4 linked regions of the Tamandua tetradactyla genome follow. The protein of the gene in region 2 interacts with the protein of the main gene of each other region in a pairwise test. Links are inferred from orthologs where the notes say so. Each region holds a gene or a part of one and is shown on either strand. Other genes may lie near its edges.

The links.
Region 1: the proteins of NDEL1 (region 2) and CCHCR1 interact in binary tests that used the Homo sapiens proteins (3 or more experiments, as listed by UniProt). The link is inferred for Tamandua tetradactyla from reciprocal best matches to the Homo sapiens genes NDEL1 and CCHCR1.
Region 3: the proteins of NDEL1 (region 2) and ZNF197 interact in a two-hybrid assay, tested with the Homo sapiens proteins (2 studies listed by BioGRID and IntAct). The link is inferred for Tamandua tetradactyla from reciprocal best matches to the Homo sapiens genes NDEL1 and ZNF197.
Region 4: the proteins of NDEL1 (region 2) and MIS18A interact in binary tests that used the Homo sapiens proteins (3 or more experiments, as listed by UniProt). The link is inferred for Tamandua tetradactyla from reciprocal best matches to the Homo sapiens genes NDEL1 and MIS18A.

The regions. Positions count from the first base shown.
Region 1 is NC_135331.1:86,079,108-86,086,269, forward strand, and holds the start of CCHCR1 (coiled-coil alpha-helical rod protein 1), read right to left. Parts: upstream 3,012-7,162; 5' UTR 2,457-3,011; coding exon 2,238-2,456; intron 1,945-2,237; coding exon 1,878-1,944; intron 1,800-1,877; coding exon 1,586-1,799; intron 1-1,585. Other genes in the region: TCF19 (transcription factor 19), read left to right, coding at 4,325-4,562, 5,487-6,057, 6,533-6,773. UniProt on the Homo sapiens protein: May be a regulator of keratinocyte proliferation or differentiation.
Region 2 is NC_135332.1:62,284,573-62,292,463, reverse strand, and holds the start of NDEL1 (nuclear distribution protein nudE-like 1), read right to left. Parts: upstream 3,053-7,891; 5' UTR 2,885-3,052; intron 2,712-2,884; exon of another isoform or gene 2,036-2,711; intron 1-2,035. UniProt on the Homo sapiens protein: Required for organization of the cellular microtubule array and microtubule anchoring at the centrosome. May regulate microtubule organization at least in part by targeting the microtubule severing protein KATNA1 to the centrosome.
Region 3 is NC_135341.1:42,317,953-42,325,258, forward strand, and holds the start of ZNF197 (zinc finger protein 197), read right to left. Parts: upstream 3,091-7,306; 5' UTR 2,958-3,090; intron 1,012-2,957; 5' UTR 940-1,011; intron 16-939; exon of another isoform or gene 1-15. UniProt on the Homo sapiens protein: May be involved in transcriptional regulation.
Region 4 is NC_135336.1:92,330,846-92,338,584, reverse strand, and holds the start of MIS18A (protein Mis18-alpha), read left to right. Parts: upstream 1-4,648; 5' UTR 4,649-4,723; coding exon 4,724-5,069; intron 5,070-7,739. UniProt on the Homo sapiens protein: Required for recruitment of CENPA to centromeres and normal chromosome segregation during mitosis.

The sequences.
Region 1 (7,162 bases), on a different chromosome or scaffold from region 2:
TTTTCAAAGTACACTTCAGCCAGTAGTTACAGAATAGATCCCAGACTTTGTCATGGGTTGCTACTCCATCACCTCAGATTTTTCCTTCTAGCTGCTCCCAAACACTGGAGGCTAGATGGAATATTAATATAGTGATTCAGCAGTCATACTTCTCTGTTAAATCCTATTTACTCTGTTATACCTCCTCTTTCTTCCATGATCCCTCTCCCAATCCATAAGGATCCCTGGGCAAAGCCCATTCTGACTTTTTTCATGTTGAGAAGTGGTGCAGACACTAAAGGACAGGGGGATATAATTAATTGATAATTGTGGAGTGGTTGGTCACTCTGGGTTTCAAGATTTCTCAGACCTAGGAACCCTCTGGGAATCATAGGTTCCAGGAAAGCAAACTCAGTGCACGAAACCTTTATAGAGTCTTAACATTTCTTAACATCTCTTCTTAAGAAATGTTCATCAGCTGAACATTAGGGTTGCTACTGCCTACCGTATTTGGCTATCTGGATGCTGCTGCTATGACCACTGGTGTACAAATACCTACCTGAGTCCATGTTTTTTCCTTTTGAGTACATACCAAGCAGTGGGACTGCCAAGCCTTATGATAATTTTTAGTTAACTTTTTGATGCACCACCAAACTGTTTTCTACAGTAGCTGAACCATTTTACATTTCCATCAACAAAGTACAAAGGTTCCTGTTTCTCCACATCATTGACAACACTTGCTATTTTTTATTTTTAATAAGCTATTCTAATGGGTGTGAAGTGGTATCTCATTGTGGTTTTGATTTTAATTTCCTTAATGGCTAATGATGAGCATCTTTTCATGTGCCTTTTAAGAGAAATGTCTATTAAAGTCCATTTTTCATTTGGGTTGTCTTTTTGTTGTTGAGTTGCAGGATTTCTTTTTATATTCTGGATCTTAAACCATTATCAGATACATGACTTCCCAATATTTTCTCCCAATCAGTAGGTTGTCTTCACTTTCTTGATAATGTTCTATGATGCACAACAATTTTTAATTTTGATGAAGCCCAATTTACCCATTTGTTTGTTTTGTTGCTCATGATTTTGGGGTGAACTGACCTAAGATTTTAAACTCCTTAATATCAGGATCTCGCCCATTCATCTTTGTTATCTCATCCCTAGTCTCCAGCAACTTCCTTACTATTTATAGTTTGTAGGCACCGAAGAACTGGTTATGTAAAAGTGAATAAATTATATTGATTACATTCACGATGGTATCTTACCATCACCACCATCCATTAGCAAAACTTTATACCACTGAATTGTGTATGTGAAAGTGATTAAAATGGGAAATGTTATGTTGTATATATATATATATTTGGGGGGGGGGGGTGCATGGTCCAGGAATCAAACTCGGCTCTCCCTCATGGAAGGCAAGCATTCTACCACCTAACCACCTGTGCACCCTATTGTATACATTTTTAAAAGAAAAAAAAAACTCAAGTGATAGAAAAAGGAAGAAAAAAATTATGGAACCAACTGCTGACACAGGGTAAGGAATCTATTCTGGTAAAACAGAGTCTTCGGTGAGCAAGCTAAGGAAATGGTGATGCCAGATGCCTACCTGTCTCTCCGTGCTGGCTCCTGCCCATCGCCAGAAGCAGATCGTTCCCACATGTCCGCCTGCAGTCTCTGGTTGTCTAGCCGCCTCTCTGAGACCTCTTGTTGGGCCAGGGATTGCACCAGGGGAATGTCCGAGACCCAGGTAGAAGCCATTCTTGGCACAGAATGAAGGGGCCGAGCTTGGAAGTGGGATGGAGGAATTAGCCTAGTGGAACCTGAGGAATCACAAGGGCACAGGTGGTCAGTTTCCCAAGGAGAGGTCATCACCAGTCCCCTAGTCTGGTCCCACTGACCTGAAGTTCGAAACATCTCTGCACTTTCTGAAGGCTCTAGATTCTGTCTCCAGCCATCCATGATCCCCTGAACAACAGGAAAAACAAGGACATTCCAATTCAGTTTTCACACCCCTTCCAAAGAGAAAGCCCCTATGATAAAGTTATCCTTCCTAAATAATAACTGGTCCACCCGACATTCAGCTTCTCTTCTCCTAGTTTCCAAAAGGAGAAACCCCCAAGATCACCTCTTTGTCCCACCCTGATTCCTGACAGAACCCTGGCAATAACATGAGGTGGGGGGGGGGGGGATTTACTGACACAAGCTGAGGAAAGCTCTTAGGTTCTACTCATATTCCTAGTATTTTGGGCAGTCTTTACCCTCCTCCTTAAGTTTCTAGAGTCCCTGCTGGTCCTGCAGGTCTGAGGTGAGAGAGGGCGCACGGAGTGCAGGCGCTGTGAGCCCAACCTCCAGAGTTCTCTCCATGGCTCAGCCAGGCCTTGAGGAAGCCCATCCAGACACCACCAAGCCATGACTCCTGGGTCCTTCCCTATGAAAGCACTGGCCCAAGGCCTGGCTGCAGACGAGTGCCACCACATGTAGGGCTAGATGCCTCCCCAGGATCCCTGGGAATCCACACAGCCCTAGACCCCTTGACAGAAAGGCCAGCTGTCTGCCATTTCACTGAATCCCTTTCTGCAATTCTCCTTTCAGTTTCTCTCTATTATCCCCTCAGTTTCCATTCCTATTGCCCACTCTCCCCTCTTCGGAGTCTCAGGGTAAGAGTGGGCTCTTCAAGATCTCACCTCCACCATCCCACCCGAATTGATCTATTTTTTTCTAGAGCCTGAGATTCATACCCCACTCCCTCCCTAGTCCTAATCTGTTTTTTTCCTGAAGAAATTATCCTTGTCCGTCACTCTCACCCTCATCTACCGGCTCAAAGATGCCTGCTCTCGTCTCCCTACACTCTCGATTCTCACCCCCGCTCTTCTCCGATACCCCAGTTATCCCCGCGCCTACAGCCGGCTGGATTCCGAGATCTAAGGCTGTTCTGACCACCCTATCTGTTCCTTTACCAGGCCCCTGAACCTTCTTCCCGATGGACCCCTTGTACCCACCCCCACACCCCAGCCAGCCCCTTCCCGCCCACAACCGACCCTTCCCACCCCCAACCGACTACGCCCAAACGCTCCTTACCCTGCGCACGCGCCACTTCCCCACCCCACCCCACCCCACCCCTCAGGCCACCGCCACCTCTCTAGGTTCCCGGGCCAAGGCCGCCTCCTCTTACTGCGCCTGCGCAGAGCGGGCGGGTTGGCGGGAGGCTCAGAAGACTAGTTCACCCCGGAAGGGGGCGGAGAAAAGGAGCACGCAAGCGTAGTAGCGTCTAAAACTGGGGCCAATAAAGGTGTTCTAGCACCTCCGCGCCCTGACGGCTCCTCCCAACTCCGGGAACCCGGGAAACTTAGTGAACTAATCAGAAAACGCGGAAAGCGGGAGCTCGGGCCTCCCTGTGTGCCGCCCAATGGAGTGGAGCAACGCCGAATGGGCTGGCCAATCATGAGCGGCCAGAGGGGCGTGGCCCCTCGGCGCGGCGTTCACCCGGGAACTCCGAGGGCGGGGTCGCGCGCTGCCCGCGCTCGGAGGCCCCGCCCCACCGGCCAGTGCCTCCTCGCTGTCAAACAGCTGCCGGAGCGCCAGAGACCGCTGCACCGGCTGGTAGCTCATGGAGGACAAACCGCTCTGAGATTATACTGAGCGGGCCAGGAGAGAAAAGGTCGGGTTTGAATTGTATGATCTCTGGGAGCTCCTGCAGTTTTTATCCCGCGGAGAAGCCGTAAAGGTGAGCTTTTAGATCCGTTTTGTTAGTTAATTTAGGAACCGGTTTGCACTACCTTTTCAAGGTGACAGTAGATTCACTTACCGCGGGGTTCCAAATTAACTAGTTACAAGTGAGGAATTGGCCAGAAAAGGGAGGCGCAGGCGAGCGGGAGGGGTACTCCTTTTGGATAAACAGGTTTGACAGGAAGACGCTTCTTTCTCCAAGTTACACTGTGATACGCTGGTATTGTTCAGAAGCAGGACCCCCAGTTTGCATTTCCTCAGAAGTTGTCTATTGTATCATTGTCTTGCACAGATCAGAGGCTCCCCGAATATTTTGCGGCCTGAGAATCGGCTCATCTGCGGTGCCATAAGGCGTGTTCCTGGTTTTGCGTTGTACCAGGAACCCCACCCGAATTTTTCAGTTGCACAGTTGCTAGACAGCAAATTTTGCATTGCATACGTCGGCTGCTTACACTGATTTTGCACTACTCAGGGAGTGTGCTTGAAGTTGAAACTGCACAAAGTACAATTTAAGTTCGCATCAGATTGAGAAGTGAACTTGAACCACCGTGCCTGGCCCAGGAGTGGGAAGGGTGATGAATTCCTGAAGTGGAAGCTGTGGTGTGGAGGGGCACCGCCCATGCTGCCCTGCTTCCAGCTGCTGCGCATAGGGGGCGGCCGAGGTGGTGATCTCTACACCTTCCACCCACCCACGGGGGCTGGCTGCACCTATCGCTTGGGCTGCCGGGCAGACCTGTGTGATGTGGCCCTGCGGCCCCAGGAGGAACCCGGCCTCATCTCTGGGGTCCACGCAGAGCTGCATGCTGAGCGCCGGGGCGATGACTGGAGGGTCAGCCTGGAGGACCACAGCAGCCATGGTGAGCAGGACGTCCTTGCTCCTGAGCCCCCCCCCCCCCCAGGTCCAAGCTAAGAGGATTAAGGATCCCCTTGCCACCCTCCCATTGGGCATTTAGGGTCCAGACCTACATATTCCCATCAGAAGTGTGCAGTGTCAAGAGTCCCCTCCAGAGGGTCCTGTTTAGCCCCTACAGGGGGCTGGGAAGTAGATCCAGGGCCTAGGACATCAGTAGAGAAGTGTCACAGTGGGGATGTTCTGGGGCCATTGAGAGCCAAACTCAGTCTTGATCCCATTTCCAGCTTTGCTGAGGCACCTCGTTCCTTCCTGCTTTTCATTGAATTCTATTTTAATGCTTTGGGCCTGTGTATTTTTCCCTAACTCAGTTACAGTCTCAGTCTCAGAAGGGCTTGTCACTGGTTTCTGGCCTGTCGTGTCACCTCTTAGATGTTGGGGCTGTTGTGGGGATTACATAATTACAGTAGCCAATATTTTTCGTACCCACTGTTTACATGCATTGAATGTAGGTGGGCACTGATGACCATTCCTATTTTACAGACGAGAAAAATGAGGCACAAAGAGGTTAAGAAACTTGTCGACGCTGACAAGTGGTAGAGCTGGGGCTTGAACACCATCTGCTGCTGACCTGTGCTGTCCTTTAGTTGAGTTGGGTGAGAGTGAGCCCCTGTCTGAGATTAGGACTCAGCAGAGTCCATTCCCTCCATGTGCCCCAAGAAAAATGAATTTGTTCCCAGCTTACAAGGAGCTTATTATCTGGTGTCATTCGCTGAGGGGTTTAGAATGTGAGGGAGGAAAGAATGACAGGGTTCCATGTTCTTACTAGACCCCAAAAAATCTAACAGATGTTTTCCCACTCCTGATTCTGGATTTTTTTTTCCGGGTTTTGTTTTGCCATTCTCTTCATCTGCCTGGTCCCCACCAACAGGAACCTTGGTCAACAATGTCCGACTCCCAAAGGGTCACAGGCTGGAGTTGAGTGATGGTGACCTCCTGACCTTTGGCCCTGAAGGACCCCCAGGAAACAGTCCCTCCGAGTTCTACTTCATGTTCCAACAAGTCCGAGTGAAACCTCAGGACTTTGCTGCCATCACCATCCCACGATCTAGGGGAGAAGTGGGGACTGGGGGTGGTTTCCGGCCCATGCTGCCCTCCCAGGGGGCTCCGCAGCGGCCCATCAGTACCCTCTCCCCTGCCCCAAAGGCCACGCTGATCCTCAACTCCATCGGCAGCCTCAGCAAGCTCCAGCACCAGCCCCTCACCTTCTCCCGGAGTGGGGGTGGGAGGGAGCCACAGAGCTTGCCCCCTCCCACTCTCTGCGGGGAAGTGGGGGGCTCCCCTTCTGCCCCACCCCCAGCCCCCAGAAACCGGAGGAAATCAGCCCACCGAGTGCTGGCAGAATTGGATGATGAAAGGGGGGCCCCTGAGAGCCCCCCACCAGTCTACATAGAGCCCAGGAAGAAACTACGCGGAGAGAAGGCACCACTGACACCCAATGGGTGAGTGAAGAGTCCTGTCTCTCCTGCCTTTTTGAGTCCCAGGCTGAGGCGTGGGAGAGGTAGACTGGTGGAATAGAACAGCAAAACCTGGGTCAACTCTATTAACGGGGGGGAAAAAAAATCCATAGGAGCAATTGAGGTAGGTGGGATGGGGGAATGGCTATAAAACTAGATTGGGCAAGTGGGCAGGCATTAGGGTCCCACCTTTTACTTTCATACAGCTTTAACCCTATTTTTGAGTGCCTGAGGATGGGGGATTTCTGGGCTCACTCTGTAAGGTTTTCAGGGACTGATTTCTAGCCCCACCCTACATGTTCAGGGGACAGTTTCCAAGTTTACATTACAGAGCTTATCTGGGTCCACCCTACAGGCTTTCCAAGTTTCCGGGTCACCCTGGGTTCACCAGGGGCAAATCCTAGGCTCCCAGGTTTCCAGTGACCCTGGTTTTTGTGTCTTCCCCTTCAACTTCCTTCAGAAATCGTCGTGGGCGTCCTCGGAAGCACCCAGTGACTGTCCCCATGGCTCCCCCTGCAGTTGGGGGCGGGGAGCCCTGTGCAGCCCCCCGCTGCAGCCTGCCCCAAGAAGAGACAGTGGCCTGGGTTCAGTGTGATGGTTGTGATGTGTGGTTCCATGTGGCCTGTGTGGGCTGCAGCATCCAGGCTGCCAGGGAGGCAGACTTCCGGTGCCCGGGGTGCCGTGCTGGCACACAGACCTAAGGCCCATCACCACAGCACCAGAGGACGCAGAGCTGGGAACTCCAGGCCAGGGGTGGACAGTGGGGTGGGAACGAGTCCTTAAAAATGCCCCTTCTTCCCTTCCCTCCCCAGGAGGGAGTGACTCCAGGGAAGAAGGGTCCCTTGCCATGGATCCTGACTCAGGGCCTGCAACAGGTCCTCATGGCCAAGGTGACAGAAGAGAGCTGGTTGCCTGTCAGACTTTGCCTCCAGGAAGTTGTTGCCAGTGAACTGGAAATTCCCATTGCTACAGAATGTAGAGGCTTGTTAGCAGGGACACCAGAACGTCTGGGCACAGAGCATCGATCAATTACAGTGGCCATGCCTGAAAAGACTGTCATAAGATCTGGACAATTCCTTGAAATTGAAAA
Region 2 (7,891 bases):
ATCTTATTATGTAAATTGAAAGCTGACTACAATTTTTCTAGTCAATCTTGTAAACTTGCTTACTGGCCACTCAAACAGTATTATAAACTACATCTGAAAATTTTACTTAAATTACTTCCTTCTTTTCCAGTAAAAACATTTGACCGGGAACCACAGGTACAGGACAGCATAGTGGTTACACGACTAAACTCTAAAACTAATTTGAGTTTTAATTCAGATTTCACTTACTAGTTCAACAAACTTGGGAAAGTTACTCAACCACTCAGTGCCCCATTTCCTCACTTGTAAAATGAGAATAATTAAAATTAATTTAAAAACTGAGTTAATATTTGCAAAGTACTTAGAATAGAGCCTGGCACATAGTAAACACAGCACAAATGTACGTTAAGTAGTAGACTGATGATTCAGAAGTTAATCTATGAAGTGTAAGCACAAAGTAAATATGCTTCAAAATTCTAACATAGAAATAATTCCTTAAAATTCAGGAAACTATATGCATATTCCAGTGATACTACCATTAGCGAAAACATTTTAAAAATTTCCCTTTTGAAATAGCTTTTAAGAGCCATGTTAAGAACTAAACAAAAAGTTCTTACTTTGCGGTCAGATTTCATTTGTATCGTTTCCTGACTGGTATTATATAGCTTTATCACTCTAATTTTATTCATCAGACTTACCCTTTCTAAAAATTAGACTCTTCATAAAATGACAAAAATTTGCTATGACGGCAGATATTCAAAGGAATGTTTCAGGGGCTTTAAAAACAGAATGTTCAAAGTGCTTCAAGTTACAGTGGGAGGATGTGTTCACCATGTTATTTGAATCTATGTAACTAGAGATAGTAAAGCTATAGAAAGTTAGCCAATACAGAAAAATATACTGCTAAAGAAATGCTTTAATGGTACATCCACAATGTTCTGACACTGAAATGAAGGCAGATAATTATATACTTACCCTTCCCCCCAATCTTCCACTAGTACCATGTCTCAACGGATGGCAAAAGTATCACAAATTTTACATCAGGCTTTACCATCCTGTGAATGACCTTCAGCTATTCAGTGACTCAAATCAACCCATTCGAGTATAAAACACTCTGTCTACAATGCTATATTTACAAGGAAACTACTCTGCACAATGGTAAGAAAATCTATTTTGCATATTATCTTCTTGCTAATAGTTGTAGAATGAATTATTGAGGCTGAAAGAGTACTTCTGGAGTTCACTGTAGGTAATACGTGAGTTTTTACCAGAATTCTTGGAGAATTTTTAACTTTTCAAGTTGATTATAAATATGGCCTCCCTTTCGGTCCTATCAAACTTCTTTTATTACTGTTTGATGTGCTAGAAATTCATGTCAGAAGTAATTTTAAGCTTTAGTAATCAAATTTATCTCAGCATGGTTTAAAATGAGAATAAATTTTGCAGATGTCACCAAAGTACGAACTAAATTTCTACCAAGGTATCTAGCTATTTTAAGCATTCCTTATCCAACTTCAATTATTTAAAGTCAAAACAGAACTACAGCTTCAAAGACTGAGCAAATTCTATATAGAATCCGGACCTGACCAACCTATAACCAAAGCCAGCCAAAAGTGTCTTTTTGCTTAAATAATAATTTTATAATAATTCAGAAGAGATACCTCACTCAGTTCCCCTTTACTTCTCTTCAACTCATAACTTAAAGCTGCATTTTGTCCCCACCAACTAATTCATTTCAAGACTCAGCTAATACTACCCTACTTCATAAATCGATTTAAAACAACACAATTAATCAGACAAAATAACTAACCAACAACCTACGAATAAGCCTCAGAGTAGGATTTTTCTCATAACTGAGTGGCGGTTTTTATACTAGCCATTTCAGTGCGCTCAAAAATATTTCAGTAAGTTATCTACTAGCTTCTGGTATTCCATCTTTTGACAAGTCAAATTTTCTGCCTCGCTTCCTAGCCGAGAAGGGTATCAAAGTCAGTTGAAAAGAAATCAGAACTCCAAGCTTGGAGACCTAAGTTCTGAGCCAAGCTAAGCCACTCACCAGCTGGTTGTACCCAAGTATAAATCACTTAACATCTCTCCCCCAGCAGGCTCCATTTCCCCATCCGTTAAGGCGCTAACAGAATCAGTCACAACCAAAGGATGATGAGGATCAAAGGATGTTGGCAAGAGGGTTCTAAGGGGTGTACACGAGCCACGGAAATGGAACGTAACAATCAGTCGTGAAAAATGAACCTTCACTTCCTTGGCAAAACTTAAAGGGTTATCTCGTTGCTTACCAACCTGAAAGGAACGAGCACAAGCAACTCGAACCCATATGATAACACTTTCCTGATCTCCGAAAGAGATGTTCAGCAGATCCGGGGGGGAGTCATGGCAATGCCATCCGAGCCCCGAAGCAGCTTCCGTCCCCGCCCCCCGCGGGAAAGCTGCGCTGAGGACTCCAAACCCAACCCGGCTCCAAACCTCCCAGATGAGGTTTTTCTTTCTTTCTTTTTTTTTCTTAAGGGGGGTGGAGGGTTGGGCGCGCCGCTGCCACCTCTAACAGGGCTACTCCTTGCGCCACCAGCGCCCCGGCCCACGGGGCCACGTCCGGTCTCCGTTCCTCACCCCACCCTGGGACCGCGGCACCTCCTCCAGAGGCCGCTGTGCTCGCTCCCTTTCAGGCGTCCCTAGCGGGCCGCACCTCGGTCCAGAGCGAGGAGGGGACAGTTAGAGCGGTTGAAACAGTTGCCCACCCCCCGGACTGGCCGTCCCGAACCCCGGCCCCGGCCCGGCCCGGCGGGGCCTCAGGCGCAGCTCCCGGTGCCGCGGGATCCCCAGGGACAGGCCTCGGCGCCGTCAGCCTGGCCCGGCCCCCGCGGGAGCGCCCCGAGCACAGCAGGCTCACCTCAATGTGTCAAAAGCGCATGTTCGCCGCCGCTCGACCCGCGTCTCTGCTCCGCTGGCCTGGCCAGGCCCGCCCAGCCGCTCAGCTCCGCTCCTCTCCACAGCCCTGAGCTCCACTCCGCGCACCTCGGCGCCCGGCTCCTCCCCGACACGTCAGAGATTGCCTGGGTGTCCGAGGCCATTCTGTGACGCTCGGAGGCGGGGCTCGGAGCATGCGCGCAAGCGCAAGAGCGTACGGGGCTGGGCGGTGGCAAGGAGGGCGTCACAGGGGGGCGGGTCTGGACCCGGCGCGTTGACGTCAGACAGGTGGTGTCCTTCTGCGCAAGCGCTTCGGACCCGCAGGGAACCCGGCTTGGACTTGACAAGGTTCACCGAAACAATCTGCGGTTCGGCGAAGTGGCACCACTGTAGAGCAGTTGGGAGGCCGCCTTCCTGTTTTTAGCCTCCAAGGCCTTTAAGTGCCCAAGTTCCAGTGTCCCCACTTATAAAATGAAGGTCGACGCATATTTCACCTCCCAGACCATCCCCGATCACCCAATAGAACAGAATAGTTTTCTAATTCCCCGTAATCGCGCTCATTAAGCTCTGTGTTGTCTTTCCAGCACTTCCACTGGCAAAATTGTGTATTTGTCCTTTTCTTCCTCAAATAGAATTTAAGTTCCGTGAAAAATGAAACCTCTTATGCCTTCTTTATCCCAACTGATAGCTTTGTCCCAGACACAATGAGAACTCAAATATTTGTTGAATGAATGAATGGATTTGTTGGGGGTCCCATGAGGATTCATATATATGTTTATTTTTATATTGTATATATCTGGGCACATATTTACTTAAATATGTGCTGAGTCATGTGTGTATGAATGTGTATTCATCTCTCTCAGATCCCAAAAGAACCCAGAATATATATATATATTCTGCAGGGAGAGGTAGCTCAGACAGGGGAAAAACGGAGATGGTCAGCTGTTTAGGGAGTGAAAATTTGGAGGAAGAGAACTGTTTTAAAAACAATTTTAGTAACATTTGCTGTGTAATATACAGTGTAATTCTTATTTCAGTGCTTTGGGGATTGGATTCTTGAGGTTTTTTGGACCCAAAAAATTATTTGTAAGACAAGCCTCAAGGAAATGGCAAGGTGATCCTGGAGGCCCTTTTGAAGGAGATGGACATGAACAGAAACAATGCAAAATGGATTGCAAGAAGTGCCCAAATCAATGAAGATCAGAGAAGTGGTTAATGAATTTGTGAGAAAGATGACACCTTAATCTAGACTCTGACAGATATAGGGTTGAAAAAATGATAATCATAGTAATGGTAGTTCACTTTTTTGGTGCAATCTTTATGTGCTGGCAATTGTGCTAAACACTAGACCTGCATTATTTAATCCTCACAATGACCCTGTGAAATGGGGACTGTTATTATCCCCATTTTACAGATGAGGAAACTGAAACTCGGCGAGGTGAAGTTGCCCAAGGTCACTCAACTAGAAAGAGGACAACTCAAGATTCAAACCCACTGAGTCTGGATCATCTCAGTCCAGAAACCTCACCATTAACCACCACTATCTAATAGCTCAAGAAAGGAGAATAATAATAATAATAGTAACTGCCATTTATTGGGCTAGAGCACAGAGCTAAGCACTTTACACACATTGTCTCATTTGCACTCACAACAAGCCTGTGAGGCTGGACTTATTGCATCCATTTTACATATTGGAAAAAACGAGGTCCAGAGAGGTAAAGAGGAGCTGGGGGTTAAACCTAAGCAGGTATTACCCCCAAGGTCTGGGGCCTGGGACACCATAGAAGCTCATGCAGGCTATCGGTCTCTGCAGGGATCACAGGCATGGGGATGATTACTGAACACTTTCCTGTGAACCAAGTGCCAAAGCAGAGCAGTCCCACCCTAAAAGGAAAAAAATAGATAAAGCTGCAGTCTTGTCCCTGCCTCCTGGCCAAGGTGCTGGGAAACTTACTGAGTCACCTAATGGCAGGCCAGGCCCCTCAGAAAACAATGGCATCATCTTCCAGCCACCGCCCCTCCCACCTAGCTGGATGCAGAACTGATGTTTGCCAGGACTGCTGTGTTGGCCCCATCTTAATTAAAGGGCTTTGCTTGGCAGGGTTCTCAGAGATGCCGAAGGCACTGCACTGATCTCCATGTCCCTGCTGGTTGACTTTCTCCCTGAGAGGAGGACCCAGGGGGCAGGGCAGGACCAGTAACAGCGAGCTCCCTTTGCCCTACCCCTGCCTCCAGTATGCCCATCCAGGGAAAATAAAGTGGAAATGAACACTGAAGACAGCCTCAAAAGGGAATAGAAGTTAAAAATCAGCCAATGTGGAAGTGGGCTGCCTCACCTTTCTGCCTTCAAAACCATTATGAAGGGGGTTGCAAAGGCATGGGTCCCAGAAAAAGGTCTTTCTTGGCTGGAACCAAGGGAGTCAATGGTACAGCCTCTCAGAATATTCATGAGCACCCCAATATCTTCCCCGCCCCAAATTCTGAGACATAGGAAACAGAGGCCAGGTACTACCCCCGAGTGGGGCAGGGCTCAACTGGGCCTGGATACAACCTCAAACTCCAAATGAGGACTTTTGGCCACATCACATTCCCAAATGGTGATGGGATGCACATAGGCCTGTTAGGAAAACGTGGAAGATATGGGACATATTTAACTCTCTGTTGAGTCAGATGAACCAGACACCTCAAAGTCATCAAGGGCTTGATTCAGCCTCATCTCTCCATATTCCTTTGATCAGTAGTTTCTGCTAAGCTTGAAGGGCCTCCAGCCCTCAGCTCAGGGCAGGGATCAGAATGGACAAGGGACCAGATGGCTGATTGGTTGCTACTGGCCTGCTGGATATGTCCACCTATTATACCATCACCATCTCTAGTTCTCTGTGTCTAAAACCCAAACAGATCCTCCTTTTGCCCTATCCAAAATTTCCAAAATGATTTTCATTTTCTGCCACTGCATCATCCTTCTAGTCACTGAGGCACAAAGCCCTTGTCAAATTGCCCCAAATTATCGCCTTCCCCAGCTCCCACTTCATTCATACAGTCACCAAATGCCCTTCATAAGCTCTGTCAAACAAATCCATTCATTTGTCAGTGTTTTCCCCCTCCCCATGTCTTCCCAGTCCAAAGTCTCCTATTTCTTTCTCTCCCTCCCAAAACTTCTCTCCCTCAAATTTCTTCTTTGAATTTCTGGGTTCTACCCAAGCAGTCCACCAACAACCCTCAGAATAATCTTCCTAAAATCCCACTTTGCAACAAGCATCCCTGGCTCCAAAACTTGCTTTGGTATCCTGATGCCATTGTGAAAAAGTACAAACCACACAGTCGGTCATTTAAGGCTCACCCAGAGCGACACTAACCCACTTCTTCAGTTTACATCCTATAGTTCACCTCTGTGGCCCAACCAGACCCTCAGCCTCCTTCCCCAAGAGAGGTTCCCTTCCTCTCTTGGCCTGTCTTTTATTGATTGCCACCCTGGCTAGCCCTTCCCACCCCCTCTGCCTGTTGAAATCCCACTCATATCCCACCTCCTCCAGGAAGACTTCCCTGATATCCAAAGCCCTCTGAGCTCAAGTAGAGCCTTGCACAGTTTACAGGAGGCTCGTGAATACAGCCTTTTGGTCCTGGAGGTGTCCATTCTCCCCCAAGGAACCTCACTGAGTGCAGGGACAGTGCTGATTGTTCTGATATCCACCCCCAAGAAACAGGCATGTAGCCAACACTCGCTTAATAAGCCTCAATGAAAGTAAAAGAATGACTCGAAGGTTTAGTGCCTATAAGTCCAAATACAGGACTGATGGAACTTTCCAGGGAATGCCCCAAATCTTGAAAACAATCACCATAGACAGATGAGGTTTCACTGGTAGGAAAGGCTAAACTTGGGTGATGCCAGGTAACAGAGGGGCAGGCATTAGAGTCACAGGCAATTACAACTTTTCTCCAGCCCAAAGCTAAACCCGAGTCTACAGTATCGGAACCCATGTCCCCAGTGCAGCATCTTTTGTTTTTGTCATAAGAGATAGTATTAATAGGTTTCTTTCTAATTTAAAAAATCTGTATACCTTGAACCTTGGCGTGAGTGTGAAGAGCTTTACAGAAAGAGGAAAATCTTTCATTCAACAGCTATAGGCACCATTGTAGGTGCATAAAAAGCACCCCACTAAGCTTAGAGTCTTAGGGAAAGACAGGCAATAAGTAAATATATTTTGCCAGGTCATGGAAAGTGCTATGAAGAAAAATAACCATGTTAAGCTCCAATGGGGGCGGCTCCCTCGGTAAAAATAGGATCGAGGCCCTTAAAATAGAAGTCTGCTGTAAAAAATACAACAGAAATGTGGAATTGAATAAGAATGTAAAAATATGTGCAGATGCCTTAAATAGAGAGGTTCATCCTACTTTCTATCATAGTACAGGTCAAGAGAAGGCCAACAACAAATATTTGTTGAGTGTAGGTGGGCTACAGAATGCCACAGCCTTCAGTGGGGGTCTCTGGCATGGCAGGGGAGAATTCTACCACTGAGCCACCACCACAACGCCCTCATGTTTGGTTTTAAAATGCCCACTTCTGGTTGGCCCCTGACCCTTGCTCGGCCCAGACAGCCCCAGGCTGGGCTGCCCCTGCACCACCTTGAAAAGAAAGCAAAGCTCCATCTGTTGTCTTTATTGCATCCTCGGCAGCTTCTGGAGCAAATGGCGCTCACCAGTGACTTCCTCGAGGGTCCCAAACTCGGTTCCTCCAGCAGAATCTGTCCCATAAATTTCAAACTCCGGTTGGCTGTACAACAGAACCTCAGGAACTGGGTAGAGATGAATTTGCGCTGAGGAATTGTAGGCTCCAAGCCTCCTTCCCATCGCACCTGTCTGAGAATGCAGCTGCTCCTGACCTCAGGAGCCCTGGCCAGGTGCTTTCACCCTTAGCAGGCCTTGAAGCTTTCTTAAAGATGGCTCTTGGAGGTGAGGAAAATGTGGACAACTTAGGTTGGGGCACATGATA
Region 3 (7,306 bases), on a different chromosome or scaffold from region 2:
CCAGGCCTTATGGGAAAATTGGACCTCTCTGTTTTAATTTGCATTTCCATTGAGATTGATAAGGAATAATCTCTCATGTCTAAATGACCTCGTGGATGACTTCTCTGGTTTGTTCTTGAGTTTATGGCAGTTTTCATTGCCATAATAACATGGTTTTAAATCACTTCTGTGCAAATTCGCCTACTGTGAGTGGTTCTTTTGCCAAGATGATGGGATGACTGAACTCTGGTATGACACTATAATCAAACCGAACCTGCAAAGTCATGTGCAGGTGGGGGATGCCGTCTCCCCTGAAGGAGGTGGTCATTCCAGTTATACAACACCGTGGGTAAAATTAGGTTTGTATAAAGGAAAGTGAAACTCTAAATCTCTTTTTGGCCCTCAGTCTCTTAGGTTTGAACTTAAAGAGTTGATACCCCTATATAGGAACTAAAGCTGGAACTAGGCTCCACAAGGGAAAGAAGGCCATATCTGTATGGATACCATGTATACATAGCACCTAACCTAAAGCTGGAGTCATACTAGATTCTAGAAAAATGTTTGTTGAGTGAGCAAGGTACATTATTCTGTTTTATTTCTGTATGTTTTCTCCTGGCTTTCATTAAACTCTTGGCTAAATATCTCAGCCTCTATTCATTCATTTGATCACTGGTTAACTGAATGCCTACCATGCAGCAGACACTAAGCACTTGGGTCTTAAGTAAAGGGTAAAGTCCTTGGTCTCATGGAACATACATTTCCAGTGGGGAGAGACAGAAAATAAATACATATAAAACATAGGTAGGTAGTCATAAGTGCTAAGAAGAGGTTGAGGAGAGAAGGAGAAACCAACAAAGAGTGAGAAGCAGTGGCCACATCAAAAAATAGTACTTTGTGGATCTCAAAGCATGAATGGGTAGATTTTGAAATAGTAATCCATTTGGTCCTTGCTGTCCCTACCTAAATTATTTTACGTGCAACCGGAAGCTCTCTTCTTCTCCCCTTCATCTCCAGGTAGACAGGTGGTATTCTCTATGGGAGTTGAAACAAAGATGAAGACAGTACTGTTAGACTAACAGAAGTCTTTGGGACACTGGAAGGCATTCTTGCCTAAACAAGTGTTTCTGCTGGGGAAGAAGAAAGAAATTAGAAAAGCCAAGCTGACCAGTTAGGCTGCAGAACACTGACTCAATGCCCCAAACAAACAATATCCTGAAAGCATGTCACCACAGAGTTATCAGCTGGTAAGGACCACCTACTGCCCCAGTGATTATTGGGTTTTTATTTGTTTGTTTGTTTCAGTAGTGTTGGTACCTGAAAGGTTTTGAAGGTGAAAGAGAGAAGAGGCAGACCAAGAAACCTTAGAGTGAGCGAGTTTATTCCTGTGCTCCCGGGCAGCGCTCACAGAACTCAAGGTAGGGAGTTGTGAGTTTGACGCTGGGCTGGGTCCTGGTGCGGGCGGTTTTTAAGCAAGGGGGTTAGGTGATGTCTAGAAGGGGCGGCACATTTTACACAGCTCGAGTCATGGTGACCTTCCCCATTCCCCCGACCTAACAGTACCATCTAGTTTTGTCATGCACTTTGTCTGTACTCTGAGATTTGGCCTGGTGCTTATTTGAGAGGACTCTGGGATGGTTCCTGGGGGACTGGAGGATGGAGATGCCTGTGGAGGTACTTTAGAGACGTTAGGAGGACAACACTCAGTTGTACAGGGAGCAGTTTGGAAAGTGATTTCTTGGAAATAATAGGTGAGGATTAAAAAAAAAAAAGCCTACAAAACCCAGATATGAGGACTATAAGGAACTTGGGGGACATTCTGATCTGTCCTCTAGTCCTGTTAAACATTAGGGAGTTCTGAAGGGACAGAAATTCTATAAGTGTGATGCATGTGGCAAAGCTTTCAATCAGAACCCATGCCTTATTGGCCTTCAGAAAATCCATACTGGAGAGAAACACTAATATAACGAGTGTGGTAAGATCTTTACACAGACATTTCCATCTAGGGTATCTTTTATCTCAGACATAGTAATTTTCATCTCTAAAGTTCAGTTTGGGTCTTTTTTATATCTTCTATTGTCTCTGCTTAACATGTTCAATCTTTCTTCTGAGTTTTTGATTATGTAATAGATAGTTATATTAACTTTAAGGATCTTATAATGGTTCTAATATCTATATCAGTTCTTGGTCAGTTTTCATTTATTAATTTCCTCATTATGGACTGTGTTTTCCTGTTGTTCTTATGCCTGGCAATTCTTTTTTTCTTGCATGGGCAGGCACCGGGAATCGAACCCAGGTCTCCGGCATGGCAGGTGAGAACTCTGCCTGCTGAACCACCATGGCCCGCCCATGCCTGGTAATTTTTTTACAGGAGGCCAGACATTTTGAATTTTACCTGATTGTTGGCAGGGTATTTTTGTATGCCTATAATTATTCTTGGGCTCTTCATGGGGGTGCAGGAGGGAGTGGGGGGTCGTGGTGGCAGGATACAGTTAAATTACTTGGAAAGTTTGATCCTCTTAGGTCTGGCTTTTAAGATTTGTTAGGTAAGATCACAATGGCATTGAATCAAGTTCTGATTATTTCTACTACTGCGGCAAGAACGTTCTTGCCTCTTAATTCAGAGTTTTAATCCCATTAGTTAAGGTGTTATTTCATTCTGGCTGGTGGGAACAGAAACTCTTGGCCCTGTTTGCCCTCTCGATGCAGTTCCCTCTAGTTTGGTGGAGTGGTTCTTTTCTCCATACTTGGGAAGTTTCCTCACACTCACGTGCAGAATAGTACTGTATTGATTACTTCGGCATGATTCTCTACAGGTCCCCTCATTTTGCAGCTTTCTGTACTGTATTCTTCCAAGTGAACGCTCACTTCTCTCTCTTCTCAACTTAGGGAATCCTCTGGACTCCACCTGAGTTCCCACATCTTGTGCTGTTGCCTGCAACACCTTCTAGACTATAAACTGGGACAATTATAGTACCCACCTTGTTTGTGTACAGTTTCTTGAGCATCACTATCCTTCATTGCTTGGTGTCCAGAGTCTTTGAAAACCACTGGTGAAACTTTTGTTTCATACATTCCTGTCTTGATTTTTAGTTGTTTCAGTAAATCCAGTCCATCTTGCCTGGAAGTGGAAGTTGAGTCAATGCCTTTATTATGAGGAGAAATCGTGCATTGTAAACAAGAGAATACACAATGGAAAGAACTCCTAAGAACAACTAGTGGGACTACGTTCACATAGTACGTGACCTTATTCACTGTTACAGAGATACTGAGAATGCTCTGAATATGGAAATACTTTTTCCTCTAAGAGTAAGCTTGTAAGCTTACTCAGTCCATAAAGGGCTGAAACCCAATGATTGAAAGGAGTGTGGAAGGAAATAAACCTTACAGAACATTTGTAAATCTATCAGGGAGAGATAAGTAGAATAAGCAATAAGAAAGTAGAAAGTGGATGCCGTTCAGAAAACAGTGAGAATTCAATTACTCATCTTAGCTGAATCTCCTTCATGAAGCTCTGTTCTCCATTGGGTTTTACTGAAACTTAATGACTTCACTACATAGTACCAACTTTATAACTCTTATAACATTATCATAAATTTGATTTTTGAAAAATTATACCACTGCTCCAAAACTGTCTTAGAATAGTCTAGGCTTGGATTCTGTGATATGTTTTGACAATCACTCTGCATATTCATTCCAGCTTTGCCTTCACTTTATTAGTTTTGCATTCAGGCTCTTTCTCTGTTCCTCAGAATTTTATACACAGTTGGTAAAATATGCTGTCTCTTGGCCAGGAGCATCTGGTCTTGAATTTAGTGTTATTGAAGGCAAAGTAGAAAGGATGACCTATAATTTATGCTGAATGAGCACCTTAATTTATCAAGTGACCACAAGTGACAGGCACACAAACTGCTGCTATCACTTTTTGAAGTTGGCTGGACTTTGCTAATAGACAGGATTTCTGGGAGGCCTCAAAGTTAAATCCTGTCTAGGAAGAGGAGGAAGGGTTCTGAAAGGCAGAGAGTTTCAAGGTGTACAAGTTGTTGCAGTTCAAAAAGGTGCATATAGAAATGGGGTAGTGTCTGTGATGGTTAAGTTCATGTGTCAACTTGGCCAGGTGATGGTGGCCAGGTGATGGTCCAAGAACTGGCCTGACGGTTACTGTGAAAACATTTTGTGAACTTATATCATCAGTCAATTGATTGCATCTATTACTAATTACACCTATGATCAACTAACGGGAGTGCCTTCCAGAATGAGAGATATTTAATCCAATCAATTGAAGTCTTTTAAGGCAGAGGTGATAACTTTAGCAGTTAGAAGAGACAACTTTAATCTCTAATTCAGCCAACCAGTCTGTCCTGGGGAATTCATTGAAGATCCTTATCGGAGTGCCAGTGTGCAGCCTGCCCTATGGGATTTAGACTCATGCATCCTCACCCTTGCATGAGACACTTTTATAAAGTCTCATAATATTTGTATTTATCTCCTGTTAGTTCTGTTTCCCTAGAGACCCTTGACTAATACAGTGTCTAAGGAAGGGATGATTGACTGCCACTTGGGCAGGTTCTTACATAGTGACTGCATTTGCTAAGTTTACCTGGACCAGGGTTGGTCCTCTGCCTTGCAGGTCTAGAAACCAAATCTGATTCTTTTTAAAGATCCTGTGGGGGATATACTTTCAGTGAATTTAGTAAGACCTTCATTATGCCCCCTACCCCAAAGTCCAGGCTTTTTAGTAAATTCACTAAATTAGATAGTTTCCATGGAGAGGTGTCTCTACCCATTCAAGGTGGGTTTGCTTACTGGAGCCCTTTAAGAGGGAACCCTTTTGGAAAAAGCTTTAGAGTCATCAGGACCAACAGAGCCACCAGAATCGACAGAGTCCACACTGCCAGAGACCTTTGGAGATGAAGAAGGAAAACACCCATGGGGGAGCTTCTTGAAATAAGAAGCCAGGAGAGAAAGCTAGCAGAGTCACCATGTGCCTTCCTTGCTGAGAGAGAACCCCCTGAACTTCATCAGCCTTTCTTGAGTGAAGGTAACCTCTTGTTGGTGCCTTAATTTGGACATTTTCATGGCTTTAGAACTGTAAACTTGCAACTTAATAAATTCCCATTTTTAAAAGCCATTCCATTTCTGGTATATCACATTGCAGCAGCGATGTGTGTAGATGTTCTACAAATTAGAACAACCTAGAACCACCAAAGGCTGGAAGAGGGAAAGAATGGATTCTCCTGTACAGTCTTCTGAGGGAGTGCCACCGTGCCAACACTGATTTCTTACCTTGAGAAATGAGAGAATAAATTCCTGTTGCTTTAATCCTGGTGTGCTATTGTTATAGCAGCCCAAGGAATCTAATACAGTTTGCTTATCTATAATCGAGGAAACAGAGGCCCGGTGATTTTATTTATTGGTAAATATATGCAAAGTCTGGTTTCTCCTTGAGTTGCGTTTCTCAAACATTGAGGAACCATCAAACTGTTGTCTGAAGCAGCTCACCATTTTTATTACTACCAGCAATGCCCAAAAGTTCCAATTTCTATATATCCTCACCAACACTTATTATTATCCTTATTCTTAAAAAATAATAGCCATCCTCATGGATGTGAAGTGGTATCTAATTGTGTTTTTTTAATTTCTGTGTTTTTTTTCCTTTTTCCTTTTTTTTCTTTTTTTGCATGATCAGGCACTGGGAAACAAACCCGGGTCTCCCTGGCATGGCAGGCGAGAACTCTGCCTGCTGAGCACCATGGCCCACCCCAAATTGTGGTTTAGATTTGCATTTCCTTAATGGCTAATGATGTTGAGCATCTTTTCATGTAGTTGTCAGCTATTTGCATATTGTTTTGGAGAAATGTCTATTCAGGTCCTTTGCCTATTTTTAAAATTGTTTTGTTGTTGATCAGTAGGAGTTCTTTATACATTCTGGATATTAAGCCTTTATAGGAGGTTTGATTTATGAGTATTTTCTCCAATTCTGTAGGTTGTCTTTTCACTTTCTTGATAATGTCATTTGATGCGCAAAATTTTTAATTTTGATGAAGTCCAATTTATCTATTCTTCAATTTTGTTACTTATACTTTTGGTGTAAAGTCTAAGAAACCATTGTCTAATACAACATTGTGAAGGTGTTCCCCTATGTTTTCTTCTAGGAATTTTATAGTTTTAGTTCTTATGATTAGGTCTTCGATCATTTTGAGTTAATTTTTGTATACAGTGTGATGTAGAGTCCAATTTCATTGTTTTGCATGTGGATATCCAGTTCTTCCAGCACCATTTTTTGCAGACTATTCTTTCCCCATTGGGTGCACTTGGCACCCCTGTCCAAAATCAGATGTGAGGGCTTATTTCTAAACTTTCAGTGGTATTCCATTAGTCTATATGTCTGTCCTTATGCCTGTACCACACTGCCATGTTTACTTTAACTTTGCATTGTTTTAAAACTGAGAAGTCTGAGTCCCCCAATTTTTAAAACTTTTTTATTATATAATTATAATATATATATATCTTCAAATCAAAGAAATAAAAAAGCAATAATTTTTCGAAGCACACTTCAACAAATAGTTATGGAACAGATCCAAGAATTTGTCATGGGCTACTGTTCCATCATCTCAGATTTTTCCTTCTTGCTGCTCCAAAACACTGGAAGCTAGAAAGAATAATATAATCATTCAGCAGCATACTTGTTTGTTAAATCCCATTTTCTCTGTTATACCTCCTTCTTAACCTTTAATCCTTCTCCCAATCTATAGAGATCTTTGGGGAATGTCTGCTCAGACTTTTTCTTGTTGAGAAGGGTGTCTACACTAAAGAATAGGTGGATGTGATTAAATGATATCCTGGAGAGGCTGATCCATCCGAGTTTTAGGATTTATCTGACCTAGAAACTCTCTGGGAATTTTATGTTCCAGGAAGGCAAACTTAGTGAATGAAACCTTTATAGAGTCTTAGCCCTAGGTGTTGTTAAGAGTTAACAGGAGTGATGGTGATTGGTGTTTAGCAAACCATGACAATTAGCAGTATCTAACTGAAGCTTACATAAGAGCAACCTCCAGAATAGACTTTTGATCTCTCTTGACCACTGATGCCTTATTCTGTTACACTTATTTCCCCCCTTTTGGTTAGGAAGGCATTGTTGATTCCATGCTGCCAGGGCCAGACTCATTCCTGGGAGTCATGCCCCACATTGTCAGGAGATTTTCACCCGAGTGGCTTGAACTATGTAGAGGGAACAGCAACGATTTTCCTTGCAGAGTTGGGCTTTGAGATACAGAGGCTACATTTGAGCAACAAAGAGACTTCCTAGAAACAATTCTTAGGCCTCATT
Region 4 (7,739 bases), on a different chromosome or scaffold from region 2:
TCCATTTACAAGTGAGCTATTACCCACAGGACTAGGGGTTGAGATGTGAACATGTCTTGTGGGGGACATGATCCAATTCTCAGCATGTTCTGTGAGGTCACTCACCTGGTGTGTCCCTCCATGGAAAAGTGTCCTTATAAGGTAGCAAACTCTTCACAGCTCTTTACTTCTGGGTTTCTGTACCATCTCTCTCCCTGCATCTTGTGGGTTGAGGGACAGTGTCAGCTTCAATGCCAGTGACCCAAGCTCCTGCAGTAATCTTTGGGGTTGTCCCACATGCTGTCTCCACTTTTGTCATTCAACACTGTAAAGAAACTGTTCTCATAATACTGAAATTTGAATGTGCCACCTGTTTTTTGTGATGATTCTCTCAGGAAGTGCACAATTGACAGCCACTTTAGTTGCAAACAGAATCACTACGAAGACACAATAGCATACATTCCAAGGCATTAATTCACATTGAATCTTCATTCAAGGATAATCATTTTCCCCTCCCCTAGATAGGACTTACAGGTGGGCTTCCACCTTGTGTGGGAGGAGGGTGTGTGACTAGCTCTTCCCTTTCTTACTTCACCTCCTTCCTCTTGTTTCCATGGCCATCTAGGCTGACATTTCAGGGAATGAAGGGAACAGGATGGTTTCTACTTGAACTGGTTCAGTCATATGCTGGTTTTGCACCCTCTGGTCTGATACATGGTTAGAAGTGACTCCTGTTGGCCCCTCAGAGATTCTTTGTTGGGCCCCCCAGCATTCCTATGATCTAGGGAGGTCCACCCTTGGGCTGGCTTCTCCTCTCAGCCCTGGTTGTCCAGAGACCCTTTTCACACCAGGACACTTATTGCTGGAAAGCCTTCATCCTTCCAAGTTTTCTTCTTGGGCAGATCTTAAAACGGTTCTATGTTGCCTTACAATCAGCAAAGTTTAGATCTGGTTTACAGCCGCTCAGACTCACCTTTATTTTGCCATTTAGACAGCTCAACAGCCTGGCTTTCTTGCTGGCCATTTTGTCCCCAGATTCCTGGGAAACCACAGTTTCTATGAATGGTTCCTCAAAGCCTCCTCTCTGCCAAGTTGAGCAAGTGGCAGGTACCTTCCACCTTCTCTCTTGGGGAGGAGTGATGGAACTTACAGCTCAGCAACCTCCAAGGAAATCCTCACTAAGTAATTTTGATCTCCATTTTCTCCCATCCTTTATGTCCTCCAAGGCAGGAGGAGGTTCAAGAGCAGAAAGGAAATAGCTCTCAGATATTTACTCTGAAGTTTCCACCAGGGGAGGAGAACACTATCTCATTGGCACTTGGGCATTTCATTTTCACCTCCTTTTGGAGTCTCAGTAAAATATAAACTTTAATGCACTGTTAAATACATTTTTGTTGCTAGTAATTACGAGCAAACAACACAAAACTGCTCAAGCTGGCTTCCACAATAGAGAGATTCTGTTGGCTCACATAACTGAAAGAGTTCATAAGTTGGATGCTCAGTTTCTTCATGATTTTCTCAACTCTACCCTTCTCCTTGTTTTATAAGATGGTTGCCTAAAGCAACCTGGGTATGTGCTTTTTTGTTCACCAAGAGGACATCTCTTCCCTCAACCGTTGAACAAGGTGTTACTGAGATTTACTCTGATTGGGCAAGTGCTCACCCATGAGCCAATCCCTATAATCAGATTGGCTTCAGTCTGGGGTAGGTGCCATCCTTCTACCAATCATTACAGAAGAGAAATGGATCATCCTGATTAGGTCAAACCACTGGGGAGCCATTCTTGGCATTTGGGTGGTGGTGGTGGAGGAGGTAGCTGGGGTTGGACTTGGTCTTGCCCAAACCTCCTAGCTGGGTAACTAGAAGGAAGAGTAGAAATGGAGGTTCAGGAGGCAATAACTACCCAATCCAAGGTCTTCTTCCCTCAAGCATCCAAGTTTGCCCTCACATAAAATGTGATTTTTTTTTTGGAACCTAAGTACTTTATATTCATAATACAAGCATACTTGTGACTCTAGAGGAATTTGTTTTGTTTTAAGGCCAAATTCTCCAAAAGGCACAGGAGGCACAGTATTCTGAGCCCACGATATTTTTAGAGGCCAGTGAAAATGTTTTGATTTCTTTTAAAATCTGAAGGAAAAAAACTCAAACTCTTAGGTCAAAGAAAATATTTTCATATATAATGTGAACATATTTGTCTTTATAACAATGCAATCACAAAATGTAACTTTTAATTTTTCATTTACTTTTTTTTGGAGGGAAGGGACCCACCAAAGCAAGGTGCCTAGGGCCCCTGAAAGTTATCATGGGGCCCTGTTTTGTGTTTCTTCTTTACTAGGATATCTCACCACAGAATTGAAGTGTTGACAATAGGAATCCAAAGTCTGAGGCAAAGATAATCATCCCTTGAATTACAAAGTTACCACCCACTTACTTAAAGAGGACATTGCGGGTTACAGTGTTGTACCAGAGATACCATGTTTCAAAAAAGCAAGAAGCTCAGGCTGAGCTTCCCAAAAGAAGCAGAGGGAAGGAAGGCAATTCTATGGGTGAAAAAAGGAGTATCTATTTGGAGTATTTACTTGCAGTTGGAAATTAGTTAACACCAGTATGGTGCAGTAGAGAGTGGGTGTATGTTCATGTCTGTAATATCCTTTAATCCTCTTAAGATGCCAGGCAGTAAGGACCGATTTAACTGATGAAATATGAGATTCATTGAAGGCAAATGGCTTTTTTTTTCACAGTTATCCACACAGTTATTACCTGGTGGAGGAGTATGTCAAACTAGAACATCTGACTTTATAACTTTTGCTCTTTGCTAGGGGCCAAAGGCACTAAAATTGGAAGAAAGTTTATGTAAATGGTCTATCTGATCAAGCAGAGTGGCAGTGACTTGGGGCACTTAATCAAAACACCAAAGAGTAGTTATAAGGAGCGTAGGTCCTGGGGGGTGCCTTTTTCCTCTTCTATGCTGCCAGGTGGTCTGCAGTACAGCTTGGCTTCTTTTCTACCAGTCTTTCTCCTCTGACCTGTCATGCATTTAAGTCAGAGTCTGGCTTTCTGGGGTAACTGAAGAAATCTGTCCTTACTACCCAAGAAAGATTATTAAAAACAAAAAACTTTTCATGTAATTTAGGATCTCACAGCTTTATTGAAATTCATGAATCGGGCAGAATTCCATTCAGAAAGAAGGGAGCTCCACCAACGGGGTAGAAAGAGGGAGTTTATATAGGGCAACCTGAAGCAAGCAAGGAAGTGTTCTTATTGGCTAGCATCAAGTTTCCATGTCATGTGCGGTGGGGGTTGCATCCTACAAAACGCAGAGCATATATACATTGATTAGTATGGGAAGCTTGTCCATTCTGATAAGCAATCTCTACCAGATCGAAGAAACTGGGTTATCACCATGTGTTGCTAATCTGCAACTCTGTAGGGATGTGTTCCATTTTCTCTGAAAGCCTCTGCAGGTCAATTGTTTTTGTCTTCTGGAAAAGCTGTTCTGGGAAAGAGGATCCTTCCTGGACACTTAATCCAGGTGGCCATTTTATTTTACTTAACAGCATGCTCACCCGCTGGAAGGGGCAAACAGCTGTCTGCTTCTGACTGCTGAAACACTTCCAAGCTTTCCAGCACCACACTGCCCAAGCAGCTTCTTCTCTAACTTTTTCCTTACAGTGCTAGTTTGAATGACCTGAGGTCCTTTCCAGGGTCTTATTTCAGGAACAACAATGAACAAAAGGAATGACTTGGATTAGGTGGCTCCCCAACAACCCCTGCTTTCTCCACTTCAAACTAAGCCTCCCCACCCTCCCTGCAGTCTCATCAGACAAACTGAAAGAATGGAGGCACTCAAAAGTGGATCTGCCAAAATATTGAATTAAAAAAATAAAGTGGATCTGCCAGATTGGGAGAAGGATCAATGGAGAAGTAAGAGTGTCAATAGAGAACATAGGATTTAACAAAATGAGTATGACTGCAGAATCATTATATGGATATTTCGTTTAGTTTCCAGTGTCTTGAAACAGCTGGAAGGAAAACCCTAAAATTGTGGAAAACTAACCCATTTCAAACTCTGAAATCTGTTCTGTAACTACTTGTAACAGTGTGCTTTGAAATGTATTGCTTTTTTGTGTATATGTTATATTTCACAATAAAAAATGTTAAAAAAGAGAAATGCATACGAAAATACATGAACATAATCTTAAGAGAAAAGTTGTTGCTGTAATAAAAAAATTAAAATAAAAGTGGATCTGCTAATACTGGCAACATGGACACCGAGGGAGTTTGTTAAAATGCAAATGACAGGGCCCCTAAGAAACAGAATCTGTGAAGGAGATCTATGTTTCAATCAGTTCTCCAAGTAATTCTTCTGCACGCTCAAGTTCGTGGCGGTTGCTTTATTGCAAGGAGAGAAAAGGTCACAGAGGAAGTGGGGTTGCTGAAGGAGAGATTGGTTGCTGTTACTAACCAATCGGAAGGTCCTCGCCAAGGGTTGGTGATTTAGTTTGGGGCCGGTTATTTTCTGAAAGCAAACCATCCCCCAACCTTCCCCAAACTCAATTTCTTAAACATGAAAAATGAGCTACAGGCGCAGTGACCACTACGCATGCGCGCTAGCAGGCTCCGCCGTCAGGCCCCGCCCTCAGACGTCAGCCCATCTCGGCCAGCTTCGCCTCGCCCCGCCCCACGCACGCGCAATGACGATTTTCCCTTGGTGCTCTAAGGCGCGGGCAGTTCGTAGGTAATGGCGGGCTCTTCGTCACTCGGTTGCTGTAGAGGCTGTTCCTCCCCTAGCTGTGCGTGTGACGTTAAGGGCAAGTGGAGCGACTCCTCGCTCTTGGGTAGACGGCTTTCAGAGGACTCGAGCCGCCACCTGCTGCTGCAGAAGTGGGCGGGCATGTGGAGCTCCTTGAGCGGGAACCAGCGGGCGGCCGGCGCGGAGGAGACGCGGCCCGAGGAGATGGCGGAGGCTGACGAGGAGGAGACGGAGAGGCCGCTGGTGTTCCTGTGCTCCGGCTGTCGGCGGCCGCTGGGCGACTCGCTGAGCTGGGTGTCAAGCCAGGAGGACACCAACTGCATCCTGCTGCGCAGTGAGTCCGGGCTGGCTGGGGACTTGGGGCCGCCCTCTTGGGTGTTCCTTACCAGCGCGGCCGGGGAGGAGGAGGGGGTTTTTTGGGGGGCCGCCCTGGGACTTTAAAGGCAGAGAAATCTAAAAGAGTGAGATAATCTAGGAAAGAGGGAAGGGGAAAGTCACCCCTATACCTCGGGCTCACGAGAACTGGGTCCTTTTCTGGTGTCCTTCATCGCTGAAGAGTAGGGGTTGAATAAGCATCTTTGTGAGCGTTAACTAAGAAATCAGTTGCCAACTAGATTGTAAGCGTTTGGGGTGTAGCCATTGGATCTTACTCTCCATAGACACTAGGGGGCTGCTAATTAATTAATAGATAGTATTTGTTAGTGGTTTAAGAAATCAAGCTTTTTAGCTAGCTGCTTCCTGCGGAGGAATGTCAAGATTGATTTCTCAGATCTTACTGCTTGTATCAGCGAATATTTTTACAGTTCCAAGTGTTAACAGCCTTAGCAGACAAAATAGTGCTGTGGTAAAAGAAAGGCTTGCAGTAAAGACACCAACATCCCCATCAAAACTGAAGAAGAGGAGGGAGTGAAAGAATTAAGAGGAAGGCAGTACTCAACTCAGTTTGTCGCTTCTGCAGTGTTTTATTTATTTATTTGCTGTATGGTGGGGGTCACATTTCAGTCTTTTTCCATGTGATTATTTTATTATTGCAGCACTATCTGTTGAATTGTTTTTTTCTTTTTGGGAAGTGCATGGGCCACAGTATTTGTTTTAAAGAGTGGTTTTATGTGGTTCTTTTTTTCTGAGTTGGTATAAAAACAGCATTCTTTTGGACCTGTGGTTTTTCAAGATGAGGTCTATTCTCTGAAGTTCTTGTTTAAATTCTACAAATATTTTAGTGGTAGAAATACATCATCAATTCATTGACGTTTGTAGGGAGAATGTTTTCTGGACTGTAATTTTGGGAAGGAAATCTTTTTTCTGCCATTTTCAATACAGATGCTGATTAACACTTATTGCTGAGTCCTCTACAGTAGTTAAATATAAACCTAAGAACATATAGATTTCATGAGTGATGCATTGGGATTAACCTTTAGCACCTATTAAAATCAAACAGTGAAGAAGAGTATAAAAGTAAAAAGGATCCTTCCACCAACCCCCAATACATTGCCATGTCGCAGTCTTCAGAATGCTTTAGTTTCATTTATACTTCCATATACATTCCATGCATGTGAGTATGTTTTGACATGTCTTTTTAAAAACACTTGAAATCATTCATCCTCTTATGCATCTTCTTTTCTTTATTCCACATATATGTTCTGAATCTTTTTTCATATTGATGTATATAGATACATTTCATTTTTGAGCAGCTTCTTGCTGAGTGTTGATATAGTGTGGTGGAGCCACTGGCCTGCTCCTGTTAGAATTCTGGCCCTGCCACTTACTGTCTGTAACCCTGGGCAAGCTCCTTAATGAATGTCTGTATACCTCAGTATCCTCCTCTGTAAAATGGGGACAGTACTTGTGTGCAGTAATTGATCAACTGAAGACAATTCTAGAATAGATTCCCCCCCCCATGAAAGACGAAGACATTAATTCCCATTCCCTTTTTTCCCTTCTGTCCCAGTTTAAGTTAAATTATTTTACTATGTCAAGATCATAGCATTTACATTCTATTCTGTAGCTTTAATTCGTGGGTCCCTTAATTGTAGTGTAATATTTATGTGAATTCATTTCTTAATTCAAGTACGCCTAACAGTTCCCATTCTTGAATTACATGTTTTGATTAGTCATAAATGAGTACACTTTCTCCAAGAAAACTCCAGGTTTGAGTGCTTGAAAATATCTTTCTGTTGTCTTTATACATGGATGTCAACTTGGCTGCAAGTACAATTTTTTGGTCATGCTTTTTGCTTTTTCTAGGCATAGGGAACAACTAATGGAAAGAAAGTCCTTGCAGCTACTGTGGCTGAAGAATCGAATGAAGTTAAGATTTAAAGTTAAATCTTTAAGGGGACAAAAAATTCGTGTCCTTGTAGGCTATTCTAAGGAATAGGGCTTGATTCTAGTGGCTGGTAAGATGGGGTGAAATGATTCAGATTTTATTTTGTCTCTGAGGAAGCATTGAAGGGAGGAACAAATGTGAAATTGGTAGGCCAGTTTGGAGCTAGTACAGTAGACTGAGCAAGAGGTGTTGGTTGTGGTTTGTGGATGGGAAAGAGAATACATTGGAGAGAAGTTTGTGAGGTAGAATGGACAAGATTTAAGTAGAGCTGGTATGGGAGAGCAGGATGAGATGGAAGAATCACAGATGACTCTAGGTTTCCTGATTTGAGCAACTGGGTGGCTGGTGGTAACATTTTACTGAGTTAAGGTAGACTGTAGGAGGAGGTGAAATCATGAGTCCGTTTTGGCCATGTTAGGTCTGATAGGTTCCTGCCTCATTTTCCTCCATCCCTTAACCTTGTCTCAGTTTGTCAGCTGCTGTGACAAAAGCCACACAGTGAGTTTGGCTTAAACAGCAGGAATCTACTGTCTTGCTGTTTTAGAGGCTGGAAGGCTTGCTTCCTTCCCGGATCAGTAATGTTCTGGTAGGCAGTCCCTGGGTTTTTTGGCTTTCCTGTCAGGTAGTGGTGTCCTTTCTCTTTCTGGTTCCAGCTGACCCTGGCTCCTCCCAGTGGCC